Linked DNA regions of Arabidopsis thaliana. The protein of the gene in region 2 interacts with the protein of the main gene of each other region in a pairwise test. Each region holds a gene or a part of one and is shown on either strand. Other genes may lie near its edges.

Region 1 (10,110 bases), on a different chromosome or scaffold from region 2:
AATTTGGTGCACCTTTTCGTTCAATCACGGTGAGAGACACAATCGGCGATCTTCCACCAGTAGAAAACGGAGAATCCAAGATAAACAAAGAGGTATGGTTTAATAATTACTAGAAGAAAGTATCTATACATTTACATTAAATAAAATAACATGAACTCATGTTTCTTGTGTCTTGTATGAAGTATGGAACTACTCCAGCCTCGTGGTTCCAAAAGAAGATAAGAGGAAACATGAGTGTTCTCACTGATCATATCTGCAAAGGGCTGAACGAACTAAACCTCATTCGATGTAAGAAAATCCCAAAGAGGCCTGGTGCTGATTGGCGTGACCTGCCGGACGAAAATGTCAGTCTTACATTTATACATTCCACTACAACAATTCTTACTAAATCTATACGTCAACTTCATGCAATGTTTTTAATATTACAGGTGACATTATCAAATGGACTCGTGGAAAAATTGCGTCCTTTAGCTCTATCAAAGACAGCTAAAAACCACAACGAATGGAAGGGACTCTATGGTAGATTGGACTGGCAAGGAAACTTACCCATTTCCATCACCGATCCTCAGCCCATGGGTAAGGTGGGAATGTGCTTCCATCCTGAACAGGACAGAATAATCACTGTCCGTGAATGCGCCCGATCTCAGGTAAAAAAAGTTCTTATGTTCCTTCTTCGTCAGCCCTCTAGCATTACTAATAGAGTACATATTTCTTTTTGTTTTGGACATTAAGTAATGTTAGGTTATGGATACAACAGTTTTAAGTGAAAGTGTTGTTTTATGAAAATGTAGGGGTTTCCGGATAGCTACGAGTTTTCAGGGACGACAAAACACAAACATAGGCAAATTGGAAATGCAGTCCCTCCACCATTGGCCTTCGCTCTCGGTCGGAAGCTCAAAGAAGCCCTATATCTCAAGAGTTCTCTTCAACACCAATCATAATTGGAAATGCAGTCCCTCCATCATTTCATTTTTTTTAGTATAATCTTTTTCTTAAAACTCAAAGTCTATGAAGCAAGAAATGATGTCTATGAAGTATGAGAAATTTTACTAGAAAATAAAGTTGTGTAGAAATTGGTATAAAGATGTAAAGTCTAACTGGTTATAAAACCTCTTTCAGATCTATTTGGACGTCGTAAATCAACACGACAACATGTATTATCAACAATTGGCAAGTCCCTCGTTGTTCTTGGTTTTAGGAAGCCCAGACAGAACTTACTGGAATTTGTACTTGGGCGATTATGTGAACTGAAGAGTCATTTAAAACTGAAACACATCTAAAAAGACTAATCTTATACAAAGACTCTTCTTAACTCGACTTGCTTTCGTTTAGCTTTGGAATTTTCTTGTACTCGTACGTGTTTATGTCCACCTTCTCTTGCATAGCCTGCGTTAAACAAAACCCAGTCAAGATTTTAGTGTTTCATCAAAGCTTTTATGCAGTCTAATTGAGCGTATATCCTTTGTTACCTTGAGCTCATCTTCAATGGATGTGTTTTTAGGTTTATAGGCATCGACAGGTCCTGTTCTCGAAAGTGCCTTTCTTGTTTCTATAATCTCCCATTCTTGGTCATCTTTTACCTTTGCAATATCCTTACTGAACTAACCAAATAAACCATATGTGGTGAATTCTAAACAGAATCATTGACATTTCCCCAGACATTTATAGATTCAGAGGTTTTCCAATCAAGAAAGAACTGACCTGCCTTGAAGGAGTTGGCCGAGTCCGAGGGCTCCAAATACAGTGAGAGATATCATCGGAAGTCCATATCTTACAAACGGGTGTCTCCTTCCCCACCTTTTAAACGATGCTGATGACTGCTTAAGAGTACCAGTAGGGGTAGTACCAGAACCGGAAGGAGAAGACTTTTGAGTTTTCTGACCGGTTTCGATTGTTGTCATCTTTGTATTAACTCTCAAAGCATACAACTGCAAGGAAAAAGCAAGAGTGAGAACCTACTACATTGTTATCATTTTTCTTAATCCTGAAAACAAACACAAGAGTAGCTACTACAATAAGCATTGAGGAATCCATTTTCTACTCTCTAATAACATTTTCTTCTGAAATTAGTCACAAAACATAGTGTGCAAATATGGTAATCTGTGAATTTCAGATCGACTCAATCAATTTGATAATAGAGCAGAGTTAAAGATCAATACTAGCTCTGTTTCACGTGACTGGATTTGTTTCGTCGTATCTTCTACAAACAACAGATTCGTATGACCTAAATAACGTTTCCTAAACCGTAGAAATTCTCAATCTAAACCCAGAAATCAGTTCCATTCTAGGCACAACACACCGATTCGTTGTTTGACATAAATAAAAACTAACCTGGAGCTGCGTGATGGCCGGAATCTGAAGTAGCTCACTAGGTCGACGCAGGACGAGATTAGATAGAGACGGCGATGGAGACGCCGAGAAGCGAGAAGAGTGATGACGAACGTTGAGCTTCTCGGTGTATACGGCGTCGTTCGTTCTTTTAGGAAATAATCAAACAAATTAATAAATTCCCCTATTATTAGTTTCAATAATGGGCCCAGCCCAGTAACTCATATTTTGGGTTACGGTGTAAAAGAAACGACGACGTTTTTTCCTTTGTTGTGGATCTTTGTTCTGTCAGAGATGAACAATTTGTTGGTCTTTGGTGGTAAGAATAAGATAAAACAACTTTTTGGTTTCTGGGATTGTACGTTCGAACATCTACGATCAACAGACCACATTTGATAAGTATCGCATTACATACACTACAATTACCAAGCCGATGGCTCGGTACTTTGGTTGTGTTAGAATAACAGAGAAAGTAGCAAAATGAAGAGTAGATGGATTTTAACCAAATAACGAGTGATTGATACAATGAAGGGTTACATTATACTACTTCAAGAGCTGCTTTACATGAACTGTTTCAAGAACTCCGTAGCAACGAGTCTTCCTCTTGTATTCACTGACTCCTTCAAGTCCCTTATTTCTTTCTCTATATCCTGCAATTTCCATGGTTAAAAAATAGTCACACTTCAAGTTTCAAATCTATTTTAAGCGGAGATTAGCATGTTGGAGGACATAATCAGAGTAACTAATCTCTGTTGACTCTTGTAGAAACAATTCAAATTCAAAGACGGATATAATGACCTTTGTTAAGGCAACTATTCAGAATACTACTTCTCAAGTTATTTCCGTGAGAAACACAACGACGTAAGGATGCATCACTAACATTAGGTTTGATGCAACCAAGACATATATTGATTGTTAGGATGCTACTAATGGGAGCAACCAAGGTCATAGAATAAAAAGATTAGGTTTCGAGAGAGACTTGCCTCCATAAACTGAATAATGAAATCAATTAGCTTCTGTTTCTGCATCTCTTCGCAGTGGTAGTTTGTTATAAGAAAGCTTATGTCATAGCCCTGTTCAAAACACCAACAAAGAAACCAATTGAAGGGAATAAGGGAATGGATCGTTCACACAATGCAGGGGAATAAACAGTAAACCATCTAAAGCCAAGGCAATGCATTTCCGCACAGTGAGATGATTCATGATTCATGATTCATAGAAGGGAAAAAGAAAGGAAAGGTGTGGTACATACAGACTATCTATCATCCTAAACCTAAAAAATGCCTGCACAGAAAGCTAAAATTAAGGAGAATTTGTGAATACTGTCTGCGTTATGTTTAATCAATTCGTGATGCATTTACCATTAAAAAAAAATAGAAGTTCGACAAAAGAGGGAATGCATTGCAACTTCTAGATAAAACCTAGTAGCACTCACAAGTACCTAAGTGTTGAATCAATAAGAAGGTCTACCTGCACTGGCTTCCTCCTCAGTACTTGAAAAGCTTCTGCCCTCATGGACAAGAATCTGAGAAATTTTTTGGTTAGTATGTTTTCAAGTTCATCCGCTTGCTTGACCTGCAAATTAAAGATAACAAATATTTGTAACAGCAGAACAAGACAGATGTCTAGACTAAGTCACGACTCGTCAAGACGTTATCTCAGGAGAAAGAAACAAAGGAAACGGTGAGAAACAGGAAAGTAAAACAACACAAAGCCTTTGTTGAACAGTGTACCACTGGGGCTCTTCCTGGAAGTATTTGAAGGAAAAGCTAGGGTAAGATGAACATTTACCTTGAGGCTTATCCGGAGTGAATTTATAGATGTTTCTATTAAACACTTTTCAGCCTCATTTCGGCATATTAAAACCTGCAAGTTGCAAAACTTAGCAGTCAACTACAAAACCTAGGTAAGAAGACAATGCAATATCAACGCTAAACTGGGAGGGAAACAAGTAAACTTCTTACAGGATTTAGCAAAAGTTCTGGGCTCGTCCTACAAAATTTAGCAAACACATGGTGATAATAAGATTCTATGCTTGAAATAAAAATGGAAGAAGAGCACCCCATTCTCACATGCATCTTCTTGTGAGAAGCTTACATACTTTAATTCAACCTCTGGTTTATTATGCCTTTCAACTTCTTGACAAGGAAAATTCTGCAAGTAGAGAAGTATAGAAGCTTTCAGGAATATAAACCATGTAAAGCTGAATGTTTTCAAAGACTCCACATGGCCCCTTTCACCTACTTTAACGAAATCGGTAGGTTCTGACACCAAATATTGCGAGAAAAACGTCAAAAAGTAAGTGAATGATGGTACAACATGTCTAATCAAAAAGTAAACAACTAATACAAGAGAATAACAGACCAAAGGTGGATGAATGAGATAGAACGCCAACATGAAGCTTTAACTGCCTTAAACAAACTTAACCATAAAGATGGAAACTTTGAGACCTATGCCATGATATCATGAACCAAAAATAATTTGTACCTGTAAGCACATGGCAGCCTCGAGTGTATTTTTTATGCATGCTAGATACAGCCGTAATGAGTTTGCCTGGAACATCAAAGACCCATCGGAAGCAAATTTTAAACAATTTCTGCAGTAAATCAGTATGCGATAGACATTGTTTAAAAGAATTGTTTCTAAACAGGACATGTTTGAATGAAAAAGAGTCTTTGTCAAGTATGAGAAGAATCAAAATTAGAATTACAGTCAAGGTTCTTACCATGTCCTAGAAATGATGTTATTCTACTCGAGACTTGCACCAGACTTAGGATTTTATCTTTCTTCTCGATGAATCTTTATGAGCTGAAAAAATAATCCAAACATAAACAAGAAAGCATCTTTAGTTTCATAGAATTTAGGTTACCAACTTTTTTATACTAAACGTCAATAAGAAAGCAACTTTAGGATCAAAATGTCTACAAGAAAACAAAACACTCTCAAATGTTTAAGATAAGAAGAGAACAAAATAACAATCAAGTAACAGCAAGATCCCGGAGACTAGAGTTTCTATGTAATCAACTCGAAGCAACAACAAGATCATGATTATTGAGAGACCCACTTAGAGAAATAAGCCAATCTACTGAAAGTCTGAAACTTTTGGAAAATGTGAGAAAGGGAAATCAAATTAGATCCCTAGGAATCAATCAGACAAATCAAAAGCCCTAAAACCTTGGTCGTGAACAAATTGCATACCTTGGACGACTTGGAGACTCGTGAGAGGAGAGATCGTAAGGAGATTTAGAGATCAACGATCGGAAAATTGAATCACGATCAAATTGACCGGATAAGTGAAACGAAATGCGTCAAAACCGAACCAAACCAGACACTCCGACCGGATCTGGTACATTCTAAAATGGAATGTTCATTGACCCACAAATACCAGCAAGATTCTGCGGATTGAACCGGTGAACCGGGTTGCTCTACTTCTAAGTTCTAATCTACAACTACAAGCGGTACTTGCGCTTTAACACATCTGTTTATGTTACTGTATTCATTTATAGCAAAGACTGGCTCTGCTTCTTGTAGAATGTTCTGTATCCGATGAGTAGTATATATCATATTTGCATGCGTAGATGTTGCAGCTGGGAGAGTTAACGCAGTCGATTTCTTGCTCAGAGGCAAGACTTCCTTCAGAGTACTTTTCTCTTGGCAAGAGCATTCCAAGATTATAAGAGACTCAAACTCAATTCCAATTGAACTCGTTGAGTCCTTAACTACATTCAAGTGATGAATTTGTTCAAGATGAGGTACTTAATGTTGAAGATACTTTGGGTTGCTATGTAAATTTTTCCACTGTTTTGGTTCCTCTGAAAGTTTACTTAGCTGTGCGTTGTGTTATTTTAGGTGCCGCCCTTCTGGGAAAACGATCTTCAGAGTATTATTCAGATGGGTTTCGAGAGATAGTCAGCAACAGAGCAACAACTGTATGCAAAACGAAACAAAAAGCAACAACATATGTCTTGTTTTAAGATGTCTAATATCTACTATATGAGTATGACATTCCCATTTGGTTGTATATTGCATAGGTTCGGAACTTGTGAAAATTGAGCCAAACAAATGGTGAACGAAGAACGGTACGGAGTTATTAATAGTCTCTGGAAGTAATGTTTTACTTCACATCGTTTCTTCTTGTATCTTTTGTTTTATTCATAAGAAAAAGTCTGCGTCTGTGAAAAGAATGGTAGATGAAGAACTTGTGGACAGATTTGTATTAGTAGAGAAGAGGTAGATTCAAAAAAAATTATATATGGATCTTATAGAAGTCTTTGTGTGATGTTTTTGGTATATTCAGGTCTCACTTGTTGGTCTAGTGTGTGACAAAGATGTTTCAAAAGTCACAAAAGTTAGATTTACTCTTTGATGATGGAACAGGACGAATTGATTGTAAAAAATGGTAATTAACACACATAGACTATACCCTTTTGAGATATGGAAGAGTTGTTTTTAGGTACAATGGTAATTTGCTATTTAGTGTAATCACCCACTTAGTGACACATCCTTCATGATAGCAATGCTTACAATAAGGCATCTGGCAACAATTCTCAGATCTCGACATATTCTCCAAACAGATTGCACAAGTCTCCGATTCTTCTTCTTCTTGGTCCAAATCTGTCGCCGACGGAGAAGAAATACAAGGCACAACACTGTATAACTTGTGTGTCAATCTGACAGAGACTATCATGAATAAAGGTTGTTGACGTTGTTGTGGCAAGTAAAAACTTTGACTTCTTTGCAGTTGGGCTTCGACAATCTTAGAACATATTTGTCCGGACAGGTCACGATCGTGGAGTTGGCGTTGAAGACGTTGATAGACGTAGTTCCGTTAGTGTAATTTGCTATTTAGTGTAATACCCAAAAATATGAATATTGTTACTAGAATATAGAGAGTGCGAGATAAAGGAAGGAGCACGCTCATGAAAATGAAAAGTAGAATTGTTTGGGAATTAGGATTGCAGTCTAAGCTAAGAGATCTGCATGAAGGTTGGTTTAATCTTCTACGAATCCAGGAGGTTTGCGTCATTTGTACATAATGAGTTGCAAGTTATGAGTGAAATTGGACTTATATCACAGAATCAGACACCCATTTTATACACATTAAACACACAAAATAGATATTAGAATTATATGTTGCACCTATCATAACCCGAAAACCAAGAAGGCTCAGCAAGATTTGAAAACTCAGTTTCTTTTTTGTAAAGCGGCTCAAACTCATCTCTCCATTGCTGCTCACTACTTGCATTTACTGATGGTTCCACGGCTTGATCACATTTGGTAGAGCATTCATTGTGAATATGAGATTGTGGGACGAGTTGGTTAAGTGTGTTGATTTCGTTTTCATGTTTCTTCTTCAGCTTGTCAATCTGTCTATATGCTTCTGCAGCTTCATACTCTGCATCCATCGCACGTTTCTGTTGACACAAGCCACATAGATTTTATGTAAGAACATGCATGCATAATAATAAAAGCAACAGACTTATTCAAGGATGTGACCTGACATGTTTAGAAAATGTAATAACGTACCTGTGCAACTGTTAATCCCTCTTCGGCTTCTTTAAGCCGAACAAGTAACTCTCCAGCTGCTTGTATGGCTTCAGCTGTATCTCTTAGTTGTGTTTGGAGACTTTTGTTCTCATCCCTCAGGTATTGTCTCTCCTTCTCTTTTTCTACCTTTAAGGCTGAAATTTCTGCTGCAAGTGCATTTATGAATCTGGACTCTGCTCCTCTGACTCCAGCTCTTGCAGCTGCCTTTTTGACATCATCTATTCCGTCTTGAATCCTTCTATGTCTTGCAAGCAATTGCATATGCTTCTCTTCCAGGTCTGCATATTGTTCAAGCATCCGTGCATGCCCTTCCATGGCCATCTGCATTGCTTCTTTCAACTCCTCCCCGCATCTTTTCTCAATTTCAAGTTCATGTTTCTGCTTATTAATCAGCGCCTTACTGGCTTCAAGCTCAGTTCTTAATTCCTCGGAGAGAGAAATCCATTTGGTCTCTGCCTCTGTCCAACAAAGTCTTTCCTGTTCTAATGTCTTCTCAAGACTCTCGTCCTGTGACTCAGGAATAGCGTTAACTGGGGGAGCTTGGTATGAAAGCTTAAGCAGGGTACACGTTTTCAGAGCTGATTTAAGAGAAGGGTCAATGTAACATTGCAGCTGCAACTTCAAATCCTGAATCTCTTCCAATAACACTTCCCGTTCTCCCATGTCACCATAAAAGTTCTTGAAATTCTCGACCTCTTCTTGCGTTCTTTCCAACTCAATCTTCGTCTTAAGCACTTCAGGGTGATTCTGATACATGTCCTTTAGAAGCTGCAACATTACATGTCAGTAAAAGGGTAATGCAATCAAATACCCTTTTACAAAACGAGAAGCCACAATTACCTTATGTTCATGGAGAAGAGAAGCAAATTCTTCATCAAGGAAATCCTCCTTAGATAATACGCCATCCATAAGGCTTTCAAGGCGAATAATTTTGTCCTCCCTTGTTTGTCCTATGATGGCATTGCACTCTCTCTCATGTTTGTATTGTTGTACCTATTACACGGTTTGGACCAATTTATGTTTGAGGATACAGTTACTAAGGGAGATTAAAAACAGAAAAAGACGCAAGTATCATACCAGTCGGTTAAGTTGGGTTATCTCAGAGGCTTGTTTAGTGCAGAACTCTTCCAGAGCCATTTCCCTCCTGATAGAACCTGCTAGAACCTTTTCTACTGCCTGTAAAGTGTAAAACTCGATCAGTTGGAGGAACCAATTATAGAAATGTGGAAACAAAATAAGACTGTGAATAACTATCTAAATCTATGTTAGAAAAAAGTCACAGTTCTTACTTTGGGAACTTGATTCTTGGATTTTTCTGCCACTTCCGAGTTGTCAACAGGTACTAACTGAAGATTTGGCATGTCACCCATTTGCTGGGCATCAAATTGTTCTCTGCATTTGCATTTACAGCACAGAAACTCTTTTGTATTCTCCTCTGATATTGCATCAGCTCCGGGAATGGTCTGCACACCTGCATCAGCCTTACTTATAGAGGTCGAAGGCTCACTATCTGGAGCTTTGAAGGAAAACCTGTACGTCGATCGTCTTTGAGCTGTACTCTGGCAATACGACTCAAGAAGTTTAATTCCTTTGTGGAGGCTAGATGCCAACCGCTCAGTCCGTACAGGAAAAACTTTGCTCTTCTGCGTAGACAAAGCACTAGAACAGTTATTCATCTTTTTGGATGTAGCCGGAGATGGGTCCGCAGCTTCTGTAACTAAATTTTCTCCTTCACTATCCTTCTGAGATGCTGTTGACAATTCTGATGTCTTCAAGCTTTTCCTGCTATTTCTAATCGTAGGAGAGACGCTCAGTGTGGGAGATTTTAATACAGGAGTCGCACCAACTGGATCTATACAAAGACTGGGAGATGCAGAATTTACTAAGTGCTCTGGATCATCTACTCCATCAGCTATCAATACATTTGCTGAAGTAACGTCTTGCGGAACTAAGTCAGGGCATGATGACACATCCTCTGACTTGTTCAGTGAAGAACAAAGAGCATCCTTGACTGAAAGAGGCTGGAAACTGGACTCGTGATCTAAAGTTTGCGAGTGTGTCTTGATCTGATTTTCTCTGATGCCAGTCTCTGTCTCAGTTCTCATATTATCCACGGTTTCTGGTTCATGGTTCTCAGTATGGCAACAAGCATCCTCCATGGCAACATCTGAGTCCTCAGGAAGCCGCTTTTCTATAGATTGGCCATCAGATGAATGTATACTCTTTACTCTGTTC
Region 2 (10,915 bases):
ACATGTAAGCCAAGACAATATTCAATTTTGGGGTTAACTGAAGTGGGAAAGCTGCAAAACGTGAAGTGGTCCTCTTGCTTTATTCTACGTATGTAGATTCCTTTTGTATGAATTTTCTCATTTGTTTTTCACTTCTATGGCATTCTCATCAACCCAACCATGCATATATTTCCTAAATGAAACGTCTAAGAAGCTATCAAAATCCATATTTTTTTGGCTCCTTTATATTCAATCTCCAAAATAAGAAGAAACTTCTACTATATAATATACTACAGAATTTGGACACCTTTTGACATTTATAAGTTTGACCATTTATCTAAAATTTGGTATGTTCTTATGATTAGTGTTTGAAAATAAGAAAATATATATCCATGTGATGTGGTCATTCATGTATACCTTCCATAGTGAAATCATGATGTTTGTTGACAGTAACATATTGTTAGTGGTCTATGAGCTAGTGCAACCTGCCATGACTCACTTTCCCTTGCAAAATCTGACATTCTTCCACAAAACATAAAAGTCCATTAAAATTCTACTTTTGGATGAATCTGACCTTAAGGAATTTTCAGTTTCAGTTTCTTCTTTTTTTTTTCATAGAAAACCAAAAGTGCTGTAGAGTCGCAGAGATAGTGACATCCACTTGAATATTCTTCTGTTTTTTCTTACATTCATTAATTAAATTCAATACTCAAATTATATATATATAGTCCTTTTTAGATATAAAACATCATTATTAACATCTAATTAAGATTGACAAAAATGAAGTTCGTTATATCAAATCGATTGCCCATTCCTCCACTTGCTTTTCTTCATTTAAATTCAGAGATACTAGTAAAATAAACCATCAACCTCCATGCAAAACCATATTATATAACAAAGTTGCGAGCTTAACTTTTTTTTTTTTTCTTTTTATCACATTTCTTTACACTCTAAAAGCAAATTCTAAAACTTTTCTTTTCTTTTCTCTTCTTCTATCTATAGCTAAGAAACTAGTGGATCAAGTATTCAAGTTCCATATATACCGTCATCCAATTCTTTACAAAGAGCTAGATACACACAAACTTTAACAGTTATACTTATGAAATGAACTCATGAATTGATTATCATCAATTCTAAACTTTGTATTTATTGTTTCAACTTCAAACCACATGAAGTCATGGAGATTCATCATCAACTCTTAGTCTCTCTCCTCTTCCTCCTCCTTCCCCTATGCTCCTCCCAAGAAAACACCAGAAGCTTGGCCATTGATGTCAATGGTCCAGTCGAAACTTCTCCTATCTCCGAGGTTCGTATGCTCTTCTTTCTCTCTCGCTTATCCTAATTAAAATCTAATAATCTCAAACTCTTCATAATCTCATTGATATAGCTGATAAATCTTTACAATGAAGCTCCAGGCATTTCCTTTGTTTCTGATCTTATAACCTATTGAGTTTATTTATCATCGCATGATTATAATGTATGTAAGTCATGTACATATTATTATTCCATGATGCTTAAAGGTTATAGTTTTTTTTTCCTACTCTCTGTATAAAATGCCTGCGTGTTAATAACTTTAATCAAAAACTCTGAATATATATTGGTATGAAGCTCTTATTTTTATTTTTCTTGAACAGAAACTAAATCCAAAGCTTGTGTACGAAATCAAAGTGCATGGCTTTATGCTTTGGGCAGCGATGGGTGTTTTGATGCCAATTGGTATAATCTCCATCAGATTAATGTCTATCAAAGACCAACCTATAATCACTCTTCGACGACTCTTCTTTCTTCATGTCACTTCTCAGGCATGTTTCATTTTTCTTGGCTCTCTTATTTAAATTATATATATCAAATATATATTACAATTCAACAAACTAAATCATAAGTATGTTGAAAGTATTGTATAAGTTGAAAATGAAATTTAATGGTCGGTGCGAGAAGATAGGTGGATGGAGAGTAAAGCAAAGATGCTTCTCTCTTCATCTAAACAATAAAGATTGCATCCAATTAACAACTTTTTCGTGATTTTTAATTAGTACTCCATTAGTAATTAGTAGGGCCTTTTAGGTTATTCTAGATTGTTAATCACATTGATAATCATGGAAACTTGAAGGCCAAGCTAAAGCATCTATCTTCTTCCTCTTTATTTTTAGCTTTAACGACTTTCTGACTTTCTCTTTCTCTCATTCTGATACTTAACTAAGAAACCTCACCTACTAGCTAGTCAATTTTGTTACAAAACAATATTTGATAATTAAACAGCAGCAAGTACTTTTAACTATTGTTATCTATCAACAAGCGGCTCATAGTTTACTTGGAATATTAAGTGAGCAATTAACAATGTGATTAATTTATGAAGCAGATGGTTGCAGTGATACTTGTGACAATAGGGGCAGTAATGTCAGTAATAAACTTCAACAATTCCTTCAGTAATCATCACCAACAGCTTGGAATTGGACTTTACGTCATTGTATGGTTCCAAGCTCTTCTTGGCTTCCTCCGACCTCCAAGGTACTTCTGTTTCTTTTCTCTTCAATAAAATAAGCTGTTACACCGATAATTCTTTGTGACAAAATTAAGCTAGCTTAAGATTAATAACACTCATTATTTTGTTCTTGAATATTTCTAAGAAAAATCTTGAATGCAAATTAGTTAGACTTAATCAAATGTTATGATGACGAGAACTACGAAATGCGTCTAGTACTTTATATTCAATCTTTAATTGATTTACTCGCATTGCAGAGAAGAAAAAGCTAGAAGGAAGTGGTTTGTAGGACATTGGATATTAGGAACATCAATTGCTATTCTTGGGATAATAAACATATACACAGGTTTACACGCTTACGCCAAAAAGACATCAAAAAGTGCTAATCTTTGGACCATACTCTTCACTGCACAACTCTCTTGTATTGCCTTGGTCTATCTTTTTCAAGATAAATGGTCTTATATCCAAAGCCAAGCTACCTTTAACAGAAATCAATCCGTTGATCATAACAGCAACATCTCAACCGCAGAGACTGGCCATGGATACGAGGTCGAAGAGAGTAAACCGGAGTTAGAGAAATGCTAAAAGCGCCAAGCTAAGAAGCTATTAGTAATTTGGTCTTACTTTGAGAGATTGTTTTCTAGGAGACAAAAAGAGTTTCAAAGGTATTTGAATTGATTTGTAGTGGTAATGATTTGACTAACTTTCGAGTTTCTTTCTTCTTTTGTTATTTTCAAGTGTAACATGCTCATAGTCATAGGCAGTGATTAAGTCGTAACCTAAATTTTAGCTACATGTGTATCAAGAATGAGAAGAAATGTCCCAAATTTTCCGAGGAATTGACGAAGGAACACTACCTATTTTCATGCTGTCTCTGACGTATGAGTGTCTTGAGGATTAGGTTTGGCCGTTTGAGCATTCAGCATTCTAATCAAGTTAAAGTAATAGATAAAAAAACAAAAAACAAATCAAACCATATGTTACACATTAACAATAATGATATTTTAAACCAACCGCGTAGAAATTAATTTAGGATAAGATAATATACAAAGATATAAACTTCCATATATTAGTATTGAAAAAACTTCCACACATAATAAGATCTCTAGATCTCTAGACCAAAACTGACTCCAACGTAAAATGGAAACTTATCTCTTTCCTCATTAATAAAGATTCCAACATTCATTTTACCTATTAAGACAGAAAGAAAATATCTCTAATTTAAGAAACAAATCTACATGTATTTTCTTAAACCAGAGCCAATAGACATATATATCACACAAACACATCATATATATGCCGATATATAAAAACCAAAGGCACACAAGAAAATAAAATTAAATCACACAATTCTTCTTCTTCACCAAACCACAAACGTTGACAACTTGTGTGAGTTTTTGCAATGATGAGAGGTGCTGCTCCCACCGGAGTAGTATCGGTCATGGTTTTAATGATACTTGTGTTGTTAAAACAAATAGAGAGTGCTAGTGCGAATGGTTCATCATTAGGGCTACCACCTAGAAAGTTTTGTAATATTTATCAAGGAAGTTGGGTCTATGACAAATCTTACCCTCTCTATGATTCCAAGAATTGCCCTTTCATCGAGAGACAGTTTAACTGCAAGTCCAATGGTCGCCCTGACAGCGAGTACCTCAAGTATCGATGGCAACCTTCCGGTTGCAATCTCCCCAGGTGATTCCATCTTTTCTTTATGGTATTTATAACGTTTTTCGATATGTAGATCTAGTGCGTTTTAACTTTTAAGGCATGTAACTAGTCATAGGTGAATTGCTATGAGTACCACTATACTTCAGGACGACTTGGGCATCAACTAGCATTGTATCGGAAAATTTCATTTTCAAAAACGTCTTTAGTATTTCTTGAGGGGGATTAATAGGTTTTTAATTAGGATTTATTATTGGATTCAAATCCCCTTTTATGTCGCATATAAGTTCATATGTAACTATGTAAGAATGTTATAGAATTTAGTAACCGAAGCAGCTGGTACATAAATCCATAACTATCATTTATTGGAATAAAACTGTTACAAAGACAATAAGTCACAAAATGTTACAAATTAACGGAAGTACCCAACCATTTTGTGGTAAATTATTAAACGTGAATATTTTCTCCTATGAATGATATAGAAGTGTTAAATTGATTAATGATGAATGGTGCAGATTCAACGGCTTAGATTTTCTGGGAAGGATAATGAAAGGGAAGAAACTGATGTTCGTAGGAGATTCACTGAGTCTAAACCAATGGCAATCTCTCACGTGTTTGCTCCACAACGCCGCACCAAAAGCCAATTCCACATCCACACGTTCCCCTTCTGGCCTCTCCGTCTTCTCATTCCCCGTAACGTTTTCTAACTTTATCAAACTCGTTCCGGTATTGATCCGGTTTAATAATTCTGGTTCGGTTCGTATTTAAATGCATGCAATGCAGGCTTACAATTCTTCGATTATGTTTTCAAGAAACGCGTTTCTTGTGGATATAGTCGGAGCCCCACCGAAGCGAGTGATGAAGCTTGACTCAATCTCGAGTGGTTCGTTGTGGAAAACCGCAGACGTTTTGGTCTTCAACTCTTGGCATTGGTGGCTTCACACAGACCGAAAACAACCGTAAAATCATCTTTATGTCGTCAAACATATTTTGCTATGGACTATGGACTTATTAGTATCTAACTAATGTAATCATTTGGGGTTGCAGATGGGACGCAATTATGTCCGGGAATGTAACGGTTAAAGACATGGACCGGTTAGTGGCATATGAGAAAGCAATGATGACTTGGGCTAAGTGGATTGATCAAAATATTGATCCTTCCAAAACCAAAGTCTTCTTCCAAGGTATTTCTCCGGACCATGGCCGGTAAGTTCTACCTCTATATAACTTCTTTTTTATTCGATACATACATTAAATCAACGATAAAAACTTAACACGATTGATATATGTTGGATTAGTCTATAAGTTTTCGTTAGAACCAAATAATTTCATGTTGATATTGTTAACAATAATGGTACATAATGTTACAGGGCAAGGGAATGGTCGAAACAAGGTGGCAAAGGCAGTTGCATAGGAGAAACAAAGCCGATTATGGGATCGAGTTACCTGGCTGGGCCGCACGCAGCCGAGATGGTGGTGGCGAAAGTGATAAAGACGATGAAGAATCAGGCGCGGTTAATGGATGTGACATTGATGTCTCAGCTAAGGAAAGATGGACATCCTTCAGTATACGGTTTTGGCGGTCACAGAATGGCGGATTGTAGCCATTGGTGTCTCTCTGGAGTCCCGGATAGCTGGAACCAGCTCTTGTATTCTGAGCTGTTTCATTCTTAAAATTTTGATGGTTTTGACACAAAACTAAATTCATTATATGATTTATACATTTATTTATGACCTAACCATGTTTGTGTTGTTTTACACATTTATTTTATGTCATAAACATGTTTATTTAGAATTTCAAATTCATTTGTCAACCAAAATGTTTAAATGAGAACAAGATTCTTTGACTGGTCGAACAATTTATAAGAGAAGAATTTGCAAGAATATAACCTTATGATCTCGTTATAATTGAATGGACTAAATATGTGTCCTGAATCTCTAAGTGAGAGATTAGAGGAAGACCAAAACTAGAAGTAAACCTTATTCCACGAGAGGGGATAACTAGCGTAGCTTATATAATAACTTTGTACAATGATTTGGGGTTAAGTTATTTTTGGATTATGCTAAATCAAAATCTAATATAGTGGTGCAAGCCCCTTGACTTGGGTCAATGATTCAAAAGCTTATACAAAAAAAAAAACGAAAAAACTAATAGTAAAACATTACTTTAGAAAAAAGTTACTAATCAATATTTTTTTAAAAATTTCAGATTACTTTATAAGTTACTCTATACTCATAGACTCATAGTGAGATATAGTTCTATTTTTACATGGATGAATTGGATCGAATCCATTTATCTACATTAATGTATTTAACTAATGCAGAACTTAAGCCTTTTATCGGAAAAAACAAAAACAAAACTAATGCAGATTACAGAACTATAGATTTAAAAATAAAAATAATTCGATTTTTTCCTTATTATTATGCTGGTTTGCCCAAAAATAAAGGTCCAAGTAAAACTGAAATTGATCTGGTCATAAAAATTGGGGCTTTAGTAAAAAAAAAAAAAAAAAAAAAAACATCTGTCTCTTTCACTTCACGTTTGCGACTGTGTCGTCGTCCACCTCCGGATCTCATCGGCGTTTCATCATAATTATCTGTCCATCTATTCACCGTACGACTCCGTTTTAGGAATCTGTGGATGTCAATTTGAGAGAAAAGACTGTCTTCATTACAACACATTTGGGACAACAAGGATCACTCATGGCAGTGGTGGATGTTCATCGTTTCGCTGAGTCAATCACTTGCCATGCTTGGAGTCCTGATCTCTCCAGTATGTTTCTAACACCTCTCTGATTTTGTGATTCTCTTCTTTCTCTCTTCCGTCGTTTTTTCCGTTTTAGAATTATAAATGAGGAGGATCTATCTATAGTTAGTTTGGCTGGGAAGATAGATAGATGATACAACTAAATTGACTTGTGTTATTCTTATACATCTTGGTAATCAAATTTCTTCGAGTCAATGTTTTATATGTCTGTTTGTCGGTGTCTCTTGTTAGGAACACTTGGTATCTAGTATTGTACATTAGTAGATGCGCTTTTCTAAACAGATGAACCAAATCTATTGTTACAAATGATTTAACGTCTGTACTAAAGCCTGTAACCATTTATGTGCTTTGACATTTGTTTCGTTTTTCTTGGTAGTGGTTGCTCTCTGTCCTAACAACACTGAAGTTCATATCTATAAATCATTGTCTCAAGACCACTGGGAGAGGTTACATGTCCTCCAAAAGGTGAAACCTTTCTCTCTCCCTCTCTTTCTGTAACTTTTGAACTTGCATTCCTTTTGCTTTCTCTTCTTGGGAATTCCTTACTTTCGTATATTTATGTATTCTCATTTCACTGATCACTTGTCGCTGATAAGTGTTGTATAGACAGCTTGAATCTCCCTTACAACAACTTCATGATTATTGTTCGTCTTGTTGCAGCATGACCAAATTGTTTCTGGAATAGATTGGAGCTCAAAGTCCAACAAAATCGTCACTGTTTCTCATGACAGGAACTCGTAAGTTGCTACCTTTGATATACTTTGAGAAACTCCAAACCTGTTAATCTTAGTCCTTCACTTTTTTTCGTTCGTTGAACTGAGTTTAGAATGCTTCTTGAAGGTACGTCTGGAGCCTGGAAGGAGCTGAATGGGTACCAACTCTCGTTATTCTTAGACTAAATCGTGCTGCACTTTGTGTCCAATGGAGCCCCAAAGGTAAATGTTTAATTTTTCTGGTTCTTAAGCTTAATTTCCGTAATATGTAGTGTAATTTTCCTATAATTTCTACAGCTTCTAATCTATGTTCTCATCTTTTTGCTCAATACCCATAGAGAACAAGTTTGCTGTTGGAAGTGGTGCTAAAACTGTTTGTATTTGCTATTATGAGCAAGAGAATAACTGGTATTTTCTTCTTCTGCTCCTAATTCTCATTATTAGTCCTTGATTTTTTCTTTGGCAAGTTTCCTGACTTCTTTGCTACGAATGGTGTTGTTGGTCTATGTAATGATATTATTTTGTCTTATGTACTGGCATGATATTAGCACCAATCATATTTTTTATTATCTTGGCATGCATAACTGTGTATTGTTTAGAGATTTTAGAAAGATACTTTCATGTAAACTTTTAGTATCTGACATTGCTTGGCTTTACTGTTTTCAGGTGGGTCAGTAAGCTAATCCGGAAAAGGCACGAATCTTCAGTCACATCTGTTGCTTGGCATCCTAATAATGTACGTGCAATCAACAGAACCTCTTGTAGTTCATGTAGTTAAAATAATAAGCAGGCTCTCTGTAAAAGCATTCTCTACCAAAAATATTCTATAAGTTGGCCACCAGATTGAGTATAGAGTACATGATCCCTAAAAATAGAATATCAATCTCCACAAACTAGTTAATCTTCTAAATCATTTTTTCTCGTATGCTTTTTTATGTTGCTGTGCTCTCTGATTGTCTGTTATGCATTAGGTTCTTCTGGCAACGACATCAACAGATGGAAAATGTCGGGTATTTTCAACATTTATCAAAGGAGTTGACACAAAGTATGCTCATTACTTGAACGTCTACTTTTAAAACATTTTTTCAAACATGAGGCCGTTTCTTATTTGTCTTTCAATGGGCTGATACAGGGATTCAAAAGCAGGCTCACCAGCGGAAACGAAATTTGGGGAGGTTTGACTCGTTTGGCTGGCTTTCCTTCTTTTAGTAAATAGTATACCACTTCTGCCATATATATGTTCCCTCTACTCACTCTCTTATCTAATGTTAGGGAGCTTTTTTTCTGTTGAAACAGCAAATTCTTCAGCTTGATCTCTCATATTCTTGGGCATTTGGTGTTAAATGGTCTCCAAGTGGAAACACCTTAGCTTATGTAGGTCAGAATATCCTTAAAACTTAAGATGTTTGTCCATTGAGCTCTACTGGAATTATAAAAATGGAACTTCACCTTGGTTGCATAATTTTTACTACACTCCGTCTCACTTCCCTTGTTCATGCAATCTTGTTTATAGGTCATAGCTCCATGATTTACTTTGTTGATGATGTTGGTCCTTCTCCTTTAGCCCAAAGCGTTGCATTTCGAGATTTGCCTCTTCGTGATGTGGGTCAGCATCCACTCTTTTTTTTCTTTTGAGAAAGTGTTCTCATGTGTTATATCCTGAATTGATATATTATCGGGAACTTGCTATCTTCAGGTCCTGTTTATTTCTGAGAAAATGGTGATAGGCGTGGGATATGACAGCAACCCGATGGTATTTGCCTCAGATGATACTGGAATATGGTGTGTAACTCTTAGTTTTCTCTTTCTTAGCTATTTCCAGACAATCAAATACTTCAATTCATTAATTCTCCTTAGCTCTCAGGCCGGATAGTTATTTCTGAAATCATCCACACACCGATGATTGCCTTGTTTACAAGTTTTTGTTTATGGTCTGCAGGAGCTTTATCAGATACATCGGAGAGAAGAAAGCAGCATCTTCAAATTCCAGTTACAGTTCGCAGGTACATACCATGTTTTCTTTCTTGAATAAAATATGAGTGAACTTAGCTTATTCCTGAAGTGTTCCTCTAAGATAGTAGTAATCTTTCGGGTTAGTGTAGTTGCTCCTTTTTTCTCCTTGGGTTTACTACTTTGAACTTTCCACTTGCATTATTTGTACTGTTTTGTCTAATCCTTTTTTTCATTATGTTATCTTTTCAGTTTTCTGAAGCATTTGGAAAATTCTACGGCAGTCAATCAAAGTCCACAACAGCCAACGATGCTTCTGAATCACGTGGAGGTGTTCATGATAACTGCATAAAGTAATTATTTCTTAAGCTAACTTTTCTTTTACCAAATCATTTGCCAGAAACCTGCCTCATTAACTCTTTTACTTCGATTGTCTATTAAGAACCTGACATGGAAGGTTACCTGAAAATTGCAGTTCCATTGTGTCTCTGAGCAAAGCAGGGAGTCCTAAAGTAATGCGATTCAGCACTTCAGGTCAGTCACTAATACAAAATGGAATTAGCCGATTCAGTTCTCAAAAAACAAACCAGCAGTTTCATTTACTCGCATAACGGTTTGTTATTTATAGGATTGGATGGCAAAGTTGCCATATGGGATCTGGAGAACATGGAACAAGAACTTGGCAATCAGTTTTAATAAACACACAAATAAAACAATTCTGGCTCACAAGCAAGGTTTTACTTAAGTTTAAACTACTTTTTCAATTTCGTAATTGTTTCACTTTGTAAACTGCCACAATAAAAGGCCTTATTTTCTTGGTTTGTGTAAGGGCAGGTATTAATAAGTTTCTTGGCTTCATGATTTGATTCATTTAGTTAGCATCTTGTAATACCTTTTATATATAGTAATATCAGCTTTGTGTCGAAAGGAGTCCATATTGAACCAAACACAACAATTTCGCAAAATTTTCAAGTTCTTGAGAAGAAGCAAAAAGCTTTGGTCCTCCGAACTATGCCATATTTACCACAAAACGAGATATCGACAAACATTAATCTTCTATCAGATGACAGAAGTGTGATTCAGAAGACCAAATATTCTTTGAATGTTTCTCACTTATTGCAAAACAACTACTGTCCTCGTCCTAAGCAACTTCCAGAGTACCTAGTTTTTAAAGCATGAACTAGAGTTGTAACTCAGAAGCAGATATGCAGAGAAACACGACTTGGAACGATTGATTATATGTCTCCAAGATCCTTCCTTTTCGTCCCATAAGCAATATAGTTGACACTAATATCATCTGACAATAACCATCTTCCTGTTATTGGGTTGTACACAAATCCAGCTATCTCTTTCACCTGC

What was found.
Region 1: the proteins of ARPC1A (region 2) and ARPC4 interact in a two-hybrid assay, tested with the Arabidopsis thaliana proteins (one study listed by BioGRID).

The regions. Positions count from the first base shown.
Region 1 is NC_003075.7:8,151,191-8,161,300, forward strand, and holds ARPC4 (binding protein), read right to left. Parts: upstream 5,601-10,110; 5' UTR 5,527-5,600; intron 5,178-5,526; exon of another isoform or gene 5,137-5,177; 5' UTR 5,057-5,136; coding exon 5,054-5,056; intron 4,882-5,053; coding exon 4,816-4,881; intron 4,483-4,815; coding exon 4,430-4,482; intron 4,321-4,429; coding exon 4,293-4,320; intron 4,195-4,292; coding exon 4,120-4,194; intron 3,904-4,119; coding exon 3,799-3,903; intron 3,402-3,798; coding exon 3,308-3,401; intron 2,979-3,307; coding exon 2,872-2,978; 3' UTR 2,617-2,871; downstream 1-2,616. Other genes in the region: DMT2 (DNA methyltransferase 2), read left to right, coding at 1-92, 183-344, 429-647, 792-941; AT4G14145 (cytochrome C oxidase assembly protein), read right to left, coding at 1,309-1,386, 1,470-1,596, 1,702-1,901; PAKRP1 (phragmoplast-associated kinesin-related protein 1), read right to left, coding at 7,455-7,742, 7,855-8,643, 8,716-8,868, 8,953-9,051, 9,165-10,110.
Region 2 is NC_003071.7:13,146,618-13,157,532, forward strand, and holds ARPC1A (actin-related protein C1A), read left to right. Parts: upstream 1-6,171; 5' UTR 6,172-6,280; intron 6,281-6,555; exon of another isoform or gene 6,556-6,621; 5' UTR 6,622-6,829; coding exon 6,830-6,899; intron 6,900-7,269; coding exon 7,270-7,358; intron 7,359-7,553; coding exon 7,554-7,630; intron 7,631-7,733; coding exon 7,734-7,828; intron 7,829-7,944; coding exon 7,945-8,014; intron 8,015-8,272; coding exon 8,273-8,342; intron 8,343-8,577; coding exon 8,578-8,651; coding exon of another isoform or gene 8,652-8,670; intron 8,671-8,738; coding exon 8,739-8,781; intron 8,782-8,878; coding exon of another isoform or gene 8,879-8,902; coding exon 8,903-8,984; intron 8,985-9,119; coding exon 9,120-9,208; intron 9,209-9,302; coding exon 9,303-9,388; intron 9,389-9,545; coding exon 9,546-9,609; intron 9,610-9,808; coding exon 9,809-9,909; intron 9,910-10,031; coding exon 10,032-10,090; intron 10,091-10,184; coding exon 10,185-10,252; 3' UTR 10,253-10,415; downstream 10,416-10,915. Other genes in the region: AT2G30890 (Cytochrome b561/ferric reductase transmembrane protein family), read left to right, coding at 1,157-1,285, 1,614-1,781, 2,339-2,487, 2,719-3,046; TBL43 (TRICHOME BIREFRINGENCE-LIKE 43), read left to right, coding at 3,864-4,153, 4,642-4,819, 4,910-5,085, 5,174-5,332, 5,497-5,800; COQ3 (coenzyme Q 3), read right to left, coding at 10,792-10,911. UniProt on the Arabidopsis thaliana protein: Functions as a component of the Arp2/3 complex which is involved in regulation of actin polymerization and together with an activating nucleation-promoting factor (NPF) mediates the formation of branched actin networks.